Drosophila melanogaster: one gene and its partner. The protein of the gene in region 1 interacts with the protein of each later gene in a pairwise test. Each region holds a gene or a part of one and is shown on either strand. Other genes may lie near its edges.

What was found.
Region 2: the proteins of bi (region 1) and CG42807 interact in a two-hybrid assay, tested with the Drosophila melanogaster proteins (one large-scale study listed by BioGRID).

What each region holds. Positions count from the first base shown.
Region 1 is NC_004354.4:4,411,076-4,416,016, reverse strand, and holds the start of bi (bifid), read right to left. Parts: upstream 3,162-4,941; 5' UTR 3,097-3,161; intron 2,556-3,096; exon of another isoform or gene 2,118-2,555; intron 1-2,117. UniProt on the Drosophila melanogaster protein: Essential protein that may function as a transcription regulator. Vital for pupal development. Required for proper development of the optic lobes and wings, and abdominal pigmentation.
Region 2 is NT_033778.4:13,569,875-13,574,587, forward strand, and holds CG42807 (uncharacterized protein), read right to left. Parts: upstream 2,886-4,713; 5' UTR 2,657-2,885; coding exon 2,156-2,656; intron 2,092-2,155; coding exon 1,756-2,091; 3' UTR 721-1,755; downstream 1-720. Other genes in the region: CG42808 (uncharacterized protein), read right to left, coding at 3,901-4,308.

The DNA of each region.
Region 1 (4,941 bases):
AACCACCCCCGGCAAGCCATCATCAGCTAGGTGGGGGTTTTTGTGTGGAGGAAAATTGCGTGAGTGCTGCTGAAGTCTGAGGCCAAAGGAAGTTGCTGGATGTCAGTCAGCTTTGCACGAGACAGCAGGACCAGGTTCTACTTCCCCAGCGCTTGGCTTCTTCCTCCCCTGCCAAGTCAGCTGGCGTGTTAGTCAGTCAATAGATAGAGCCAGGATAGCAGGATACAAAGGATCTGTCCATCGGATGTACAAACGTACACGCATCCATATACGAGTATGTACACACACATATAATATAGATGTGGTGCGTATTTATCGGTTAAGTGTGCAGTGTGTTTGTTGCCTTCAACCCCAAAAAAAAAAAAAAAACAAGGATAAGTGCCGCATCCAGGCCATTCCCAATTCCCGAAATCCAAAAAATACAATCCCCTCTTCCGTTTTCTTCCGCCGGTTGTAGCAACAACAATGGAGCTGGCATTTTATAGTAGCAGAGTACACAGTACATACCCCACCGAATACGGAATACGGAATACTGAATCGTGATTCCCGAATCATAGCCATATCCATGTCATAAGTCCGTTAGCAGCTTACCAACGAACAACCCCGACTGGAAACCTCACCAATTAATTGGTGAAGTCAGCAAAAGATATAGGTATTATGTGTTGTGGTATTTTGGAACTATTTTAGGTATATATAACACTTAATTCCGTAATTCGATCAAGACAATATATATTTCCAACTGTGTAATAATGTAATCCCTACTAAATGAGGATCAAAAAGAAAATGCATGTTCCCTCGGAAACAAGAAGAAAACATTCTCTAATATGTAATACAAATGGTTAAGGGTTGTTACCTACTTTCGAAAAGGGTTGAGTACTACGTTTCTAAACAGTCATAAAAGTCACTAATCGCTAATAAGCAGTGCAATAAACTACTCGAAAGAGAAAATTATTTTGGTGCTGGGGAAAATCCTTTCCTACAAAACATTGCTCTGTAAACGCGAATGATAATAGCCAGTGGCTTGGAATATTAGATTTATAAATATCCTTGATTTTCAGGCTTAGTATTTCGAAATTAGAACAAGTAGTCAAAATGTTTGCACGTTTTAAATCCTTTTCCGTATAACAATAGATAAATAGAAAAATGTCTAATTATTTTTGTACATCTTCAAGTGAAAGAACTTTGTGTGAGACCAGATTGATCGAGTGCTTGGCCAAGTATTCATTCTTGTGTTCATGGCTCAGTTCGTTTGGCACAACAGAGCGAAGCGACAAATCCAGTTCTGAATACAAGTTTGTATCGGTGGTCCTAGGCGGCTACGATCTCCTCCGCGAATCCCCTTGATCCCCTCCCTATTGAATAAGGCCCCATACAAAAAACCGGACTGTGCCGCAGACGCCGACTTGAGATATTATGTTTTCCGCAGCTGTCAAATTTGATTTGACAAATGTAAATAATACGGACAGACAAAGAGATTGTTGACATAATGGAAGGCGAGCTGATTTACACTTTTAGCTGCGTGTCGAGATGCGATCGTGATCTCGTCTCCGGAACCCCGCTCCCCAACTCTCCCCCCCCCCCTTATCCATCGCCATACATTGCATATATATAGTTTTTTTTTTTTTTTCTTTTTTGTTTTGTCATGCCTGAACAACTTGCAAATCTAGCGACTGTTTGACTGACTGCCTCCGGCTAATGGCTACAAATTGTCACATCAGTTAAGTAGCGAAAAAAGTATGAGAAAACAATTGACGAGGCGATAAACTGATGATACGGGTTCGGAAAGAGTTAGCTAATTGGATAATGGTTCCGATTTCGTTGCGCTTGAGCAGATCGGGATGGGGAATCTCCTGGGGGTTGGATCAATCAATCTAGACAATCTCCCTGGTGTTATGCGATGTGATTATCATAATGGGAAGGAGTTCCACCACGCTTTGTTTAAGGACTTTCCTATTAACTCATTGGATCACCAAAATATTGAAAGTAATTATCAGTAGTTCTACATTTAATGTTTGTAAATTTCTCATTTCTCAAGTAGGGAAAAACCAAGGAGTAGATTTTTTTGATAGTATACTATTTATTTCCAAGGGCAGCATAAACATAATATATTTGTATACCATTATGTTTTCATGATCTGAAACGGTATTTTGAAAATCTCAGGCGGAAACCAGTGTGTTTTTTATTTATATTCTTTGGACCTCCCACCTTGCTGTTGTTTGATTTTTATATATGTTTTTTTTTTTAAGTTTAAATACTCCACACTTTACGCACTTTTCAAACACAATTTTCTTTAATCTTGTCAGGTTTTCAAAAAATTCTGGACTGCACAAAAAAACAAAACAAAACAGAATCTGCAGGGTGATGTTGTTTCTTGATTCCTTATCGTCGACGGCCACGAAACGGTTAACGGTTAGCGGTTAAACGGTGAGCCGTATCGGTTAAGGTCAGTGTATTTATTTTGCCTTCGGATTGAAGCAAAAAAGGGGAATCACACGTAAACACGGCGAGACATTTGGTTTATCTGACGACGCGACGGCAAAAGCGTTTGACGTGAGCGTGTGACAGGCGGCGACTGCTGGCCGAGAACGATCCAAAAAGCCGAAAAGCCCGAAAAACGAAAAAAAAAAAAAAAACAACAAATAACCGGGCCAAGACGACGCCGAGCGCCAAAGTGCAAGAAGCCGGCAGCGACGTTCGCAGCGACGCCGGCAGAATGCGAAAGTGGGGAATCCCCATCGCGTGGGGGGAGGTGGGTTGGCCCGTGTTATGTTCACCACACGCGGGCAAAAAAGCTAAGGCCAGCTTAGCATAGGTTTTCCCCCTCGCCGTGCTGTCGAATGACAAGCATTTTGACACCCAAGTCGTGGGTAGTCTTGTAGTTGCTATTTTGTGGGTTACATATTTTCTTTTTAAAGCCCTTCTGTGTAATCCCTACACTCTATGCTCTCAGCTTTACTTGGCGAGGCCATTCTTTCTTTGCTTTCCTTCTTCTTGTCTTTATACGTAGCCTACCCTCCTGGTCTAACCCTATATAAGTATAAACGTATTCTTTCTTTCTTTGAGTGAAATCCCTCTGTGCGTTTTAAACCCACGTACACCCCTGGATTTTCCGCTGTGATCTCCGCTCTTCGTTTCATATGAAGTGTCGACGTTTACTAACAGAATTCCAATTTTGAATGACGCTATTCGCCACTCTGCTCGACGCTTTGCTTCACAAAACCCACCACGGCAGCACAGTCGACGTCGGCAGAGGCAGAGGCACGAATTCGCCTCGTTTCGCTTCGTTTTGAGTGAGCACTTCTTTGCATGTGTGTGTGTGTGTGTGTGAGTAATTGAGCACTTACTCAGAACCGGTTTATGCTAGGTTTTTTTTGTATCCTATTTGGTCCGAGCCAGGATAACAACACGCCGGATAACTCACGCACATTCGAATCGCATCCTTTGACTTCTTGGGAAAAAAGGACAACGGCTTAACCGTTAAATGTGTGTGTGTATGGTGTCCATTTTTTTTGGGGGGGGATACTACGAAAAACTGGAGCACAGATTAAGTCGCTGCCAAGCGAAAATAAACAAATTTGCAGAAATACGTGGAACCAATTTCGGGTAAAAGGAGCCAAATAAAAAACAAACTAGGATGTTGGCATTGTTATGACCTTAAGTATATGAAATCTGGAAACAGCTTTAAGATATTAAAACAGCTAAGAATCCTTTTAAGACGTAAATATGATTGTAGCTATTAGTTAAGTAATATATATACCATATATATATGTATATATTTGGGTTGGAAATACTTGGTAATCAAATGAAAGTAAAAACAAAAAGCTCAGCTTTAAAAAAAACACTAAATATTAATTCTAAGTTACAGAAAAAATATACAAAACCAGAGATAGTTGGGACTGTATTCAGATTGAGCTAACAGCTTATAAGAAATTATTTAAAAGGATTTTCGTAGGAATAATTGTTGAATTTTTTATATCTTGAACTGAGAATTTAGAATTTTAAGCAACTTTTTTTTTATATATTAACGAATTTATAAATTATAAAGCTTAAAAAAGGAAGAAGCTCAACAAGAAGCAAAAAGAAGGATGAAGATTGTGCGTGCGAAAGGGAGGACCGATGTCACGCAGAGCTAACGGTAGTCGGAATGCCATATGACACTTTCCTTCGCTTTTCGCCTTTTCTTGGGTTTTCATCCGCCGAAGCGCCAGAACGTAATGAATAAAATATGCAATAAGCGTAAAGCAGTAGAAATATGCAAATTCGTTTACAACGTCGCATCTTCTCTACTCTTGCTTTCAAAACCTCCATCCACAAACGCATTCCCTCTCGCTCACACTGCGGCACTTTCGCATGGGTGCGAAAAAGACGGCCATAAAGCAACGCCCCCTGCAAGGCGACCATTTTACACAGTTTCATGTGCGCAAGAACGAGAAGGCAAGTGCCAGAGGGAATGCGCATTCTCGGTGAGAAAGAGTGGGAGAGCGAGTGAATGTGTGTGTGTGTGTGTATGACTGAGTGAGTGAGTTGAGCGTTTTTTACCGGACTGTGGTGAGTTTTTTTCTCATCTCATCGCGATCGCTTAGTGGGCGGAGTCTCGGGCTTGTGTTCATGTGTGTGCGTGTAGAAGCGAGATAGCGTTACATGGCGAGAAGGAAAACACGCACACACACGTAGTCAGCGATTTTGTCACACAGGCAAAAATGTCCTTTTCCGTCTCCGTGCCTTCTCGTGTCCCTTATTTCTCAGTTTCCACTTCACCTATATGGCTTTATTCGGTTTTTTGGCGCGAAATTTTAGGCTCAAATTCGGAAAAGGGAGCTAAAATTTGGAGAAATAATAGAAGCACAGAACTTTGAAAAATAAAATTTCTTTAAAAAAAAAGAAAAATGTTGAAAAGATATTGCTGTGATTATGAAATTACAGCTCGCAATGTAGGAACTC
Region 2 (4,713 bases), on another chromosome or scaffold:
TTTACATTGTAAACATCTGGACCGGAAAATTCACACGGTTGGTGGACCAAAAGCAGATGAACATTTTCCCACAGCTGCAGTGGTTGCAACTGAATAGATCTTAATTTGTAGAAAGACCGTTTTTTAAACAAAGGACGTAAGGTTTCCATGTGAAATCAACAGGTTTCTTGGAAAAAGGGTGCTCCTTTGTACCGTGCTGCATTTTCAGCTGCATTTTCCAGACTCGAGCAACAGGTAGAGATTCTTTTGGGAAAACTCTGTGGTAATGCTACCATTTTCGCTGATGCCCTGGTAGAAGAGTTTTCCATTTACACAACAATTTTGGAAAATTCACACGATCGGGACAGATGTATAGATTGCATTTTCCCACAGCTTCACCAGCTGCATCTTCAAATTCTTAGGGCATCCCGCTTTTTTATGATTCTTTTTATGTGGGAGGTCTTCTTTTTCGAAAAGATTTCAGCTGCACTTTCCCATGCCGCGTGCAGGTAGAATTCTTCGGCTTTTCTTCTTAAAATGCTACCGAAATTGCTGTGGGCCTATTACATGATTCTTCAGGGGTGTCTTCAAATTTTAAGAATTCTCACGATCTTTAAAAGATCAAGGATCAGAATAGTTTGATTTTCTTCTTATGCAACAAGTCCTGCCTGCAGTTCTTTGAAGATTTCCAGATTTTCCAGCAACTGCTGTTTTCGTTTCTGATTTCCTGATCGAAAACTTAACAAATTATAAGCAATTTTGAACATTTTCACACGCTGAAAATTCATTTTCCCATAACGTCCCAAAGGGCCAACAATGAAAGGATCAAAGACAGAAAATTCTCACGAATTTTCCCAGTGCTTCCACATGTGCTAGCTACCTGCTCTATCACATTTTCATTCGATTTCCCGTAGTGGCGTGCTAATTTTACTGTCAGCCTGTTAGATATTTTCCGAGGTTTCCCAAGCATCTCTAATATTTCACACGGTCAGCCCGTGTCAAGAGATCTTTTCATGATTTTGGGACTACACCAACCACGATTTTCTTTAGCCTGTGCCGATCATTGTTCTCACGCATCTGCCATCCAGATTGTGGAATCGGGACGGGGAATGTGGAAACGTTAGAATGAAAACCCACACACAAAGCGATCTCTGGTTTTATGTGACTCCAAATTCGAGGAATTATTTCTAAGGCTTGGAATGTTGCAGCGGTCCCTTTGAGTGGCTCAAATTCCAGAAATGGTTCGTGCGGGTACCTGAAAAAGGTCCAAATCCAGTTTGTCATCTTATTTTGCGTTGGTACTCAAGAGTCCACTGAAATGATTCTGTGCTCCTGGTGAATTGGTTGGAACTGGCATCTTTCCTTTTTTACTTCTTTTTTTTTCAAAATTGATAAACCAAGTAATAAACCACGAGGCTTTATAATTTGGATGGAGCAGGTGGTGCTACGAATTCGCTTTATAATCTTCATAAACAATACAATGTTTACCCAGCTGGCAGTTTTTGGTGCTAATTAAAGAGGCTATAAAATCTTTTTAACTATATGTACTTATTTATCTTGGTTTTGCTTAATAATCTACTTAGTTTATATATTTTTATTAATTCGCTTCTGGAAACAGCACTTCAAGTTTTCTTATCAAAACTTTATAGAGCAAAGTACATATTTATAATGCTGGTAATAGTATTTATATTTATTTAAACATCAAAAGCTATACAAATTAATAAATGCTGTAATATTTTCATTGACTCGAATGAATTTGATTTATGTAAGGATACTTTAACTGCTGATCAGGACCTCTACACAGCTCATAGCATTGGTTACAAACTTGAAGGGATTCCGGATGGTATCGTTGCGAGGATTGATCTCCGACAGAGAAACATATGACTTATTCGGACACGATTGCTCTTCAAAGGATCCACAGATCACCTTATTGGAAATGCAGGAGTCGATGAGTTGCAGCGCCAGTTCCACTTTGGAGGTAATAGAGTACACCTGGCCAAAGGAGCACTGCCAGGAGTTCCTAATGCGATTATCAGCCGTGCATTCCGAACTCTTCAGGTTGGTATTGAAAGTATTCTGTGTGGTGATGGTATACTTATTGGCATCACCAATCTGCAAGTGTAAAAAGAAGTCTCAGGATTCTGCTCTTAATAATATAGAAAGTTGTAATACTTACCACCTTGGTTACACAGAGTGTGTAATTTAACTGGGCAGTTGGATGAAGTTTTAGGCATTGTGCCAAACCATTCTTCACGTTATTTTTATAGTAGTTATTCAGGGTGTTGTAGGTGCTCTCAGGTGCATTTAAAATGCCACTAATACTTTCCTTACACTTGATAATGGAGTCCCTGGCCACGGTGATCGTTGGTATAGTAACACTATAGTTCTGTACGCATTGTTTGCTCCAGGAATCGATCAGGATAATGGGATCCAGGTGAGCGGAGGCTTGTTCCAATTTTAGCTGCATCGAATCTGCTTGCACATCGAGCGCATTGATTTGCTTCTGAAATAGCTGCTTAAAATTGGCTAATTCATCTGCCAGCTGTTTGATCTTCGCGTCATATTGCCGCTGATTCTGGAGTATATAGAGATCCATGGACTGGGAGCTGTTCTGCGCCTGGCTAGCCACCAGGCTCAGAAGAGCCAGAATGATTGCTACTCCCAGAAAGCTCTGCATCTTGACTGTGTGCCGAACGATTGGGAAGCCTCTGTTTATATATACTCTCTACTTTCTTATCACTCTACGTACTTCCCCTGCAAAAGTCGTCGTATCAGCTGCGGCTCCCCCATAATGAATTTTATTTGCAAGCTCCGAAATCCGCCTCTATATTTAATTGGCTTTCATTTACTTTTCAACTCAAGAATTGTTTACATAAGGTTTGGCCGTTGTTCCTAAGAATTTGTGTGGTTATCCTCTCTTATCGGGGCCTTTTATAGGCGAAAAGTTAAAAATTAATTACGTGTGCCAACTTAAAGCTCTAAACAAGGTTATTTAATGGGAACGTCAACGTGTGTCAATAAGGAAGTTTTTATTGATTGGGGACTCACACAAAAACAGTTTGTATGAATGGTTCAAAATATCATATTACAAAATGGCAAGAACATTCCTTCTGTTGGGTCTGGTCAGGAAGTGAATACTATGCGAACATTTGTAATTGTTTCGTAAATTGTATTTTTTAACAACCTAATAAGTTGTGCGATAACTTTGAAATACCAGCGTTTTTTTCAACTCGAAAAGGTTGTTCAAAGTGTAGAGCAGTTTCGAAAATGAGTTCCTGAATGAATGTTCAATTTGCTTTCCAAAATTTTATAATTTAAAAGTGTTTGTATTTTCAATGGACAAATCAGTGGGAAGTCACACGGCTTAATCGCGACATAATGAATGTGAGTATTATCAGCGAATGATGCATATATGTAATTTGTAATCTAAATGCTGTTTTCCATACACCTCATAAAAGGCAATCCCCATTTGTTGTTGATCTCAACAAATACTATAATAACAATTTTTAAAAACGCTTTTTCTTATTTGTTTTATTATTTTGCTTGCAAATTTTAATCGAATCTCAATAAAAAGTTTGAAAATTCTTTCTCGCACTTTCACTTGCTGTAATGGATATCTGATTAACAATATGTCGATATACCTTGCTATTTAAATGATTTTGCAAACCTGATCGAATTATTGTCCATAAAAGGCCACTAATTATTGCCACCGCCCACTGCAAATCCACCAAGGCGATTGCGGAACGGAACTTTCTAGTATTTCAGTGTTTTTTTTTTTTGGTTTATTAAGTATACGAATAAATATCATAAAAAATAAAATACAACAAACGCTTAGGTTAGGCGACAATTACAATGCGAAACCGAAACAAACGCAACATTTGCAGGATTAGTTTGATTGAAACGGGCGGATCGGGATCTCACTCAGTGCTGGACCAGTTTGAATCGGGATGCCTCTGCATAATCCCTGGCATCCGAGAAGTTGCGTTCCGGCTTAATGCGCACATCGTTGGGATCGTTGACGAACTCGCCACTCCAAGTGGTGGGCAGTACCGTGGGCTCGGTGTTGTAATCAAAGTAGTCCTGGTCATCGGATCGATTGCGCTCCTGTTTGATGCGGGTCTCGCCACTCTTCACGAAGGTGCCATCCCATTCGGTGGGCAGGACAATGGGTTCCGTGTTGAATCCGTAGAAGTTGTTGGTATTGGTTACGTTCTGGTTCTGGCGACGTATCTTGGACACATTATTGACAGCTCCATCCGGATACACGAACTTGCCGTTCCAGCCCTCGCACTTAATGGGTATGTAGTCCTCTTTCTTGCGCAGCGGCATTTTTGAACTCTGTTTTTGTTTTTACTTTTCCAACAGTTCGATCTATTCACAACGAGATTGCAAACACGATTGAGTCGCATTCGAGCAGGTCTTATTCTAAAATATGATTTCACCTTGTTTGAGCGCAAAACTCGTCATGTAAATGATTGTTATTTGCCGCAGAGAGTCGACCCCCGCGATTTCCATTTGTTTTGCTCGTATTTTGAATCGCTGACGTCAGGGGCGCGGATCTTAACGCGATTTCTTCCGACAGCTTCAAACGGGTTCAGACACTCAGACACTGGCAGAAAATGTTCGATGTCAAACGGGTGAAAAGGTTAAAAAAAGAGGATAAAAACTTCTACATTTCTACTAGAAACAATTTGTAAATGTCTTTGCATGACTAAGAAGTCTTTTCTTTTAGAA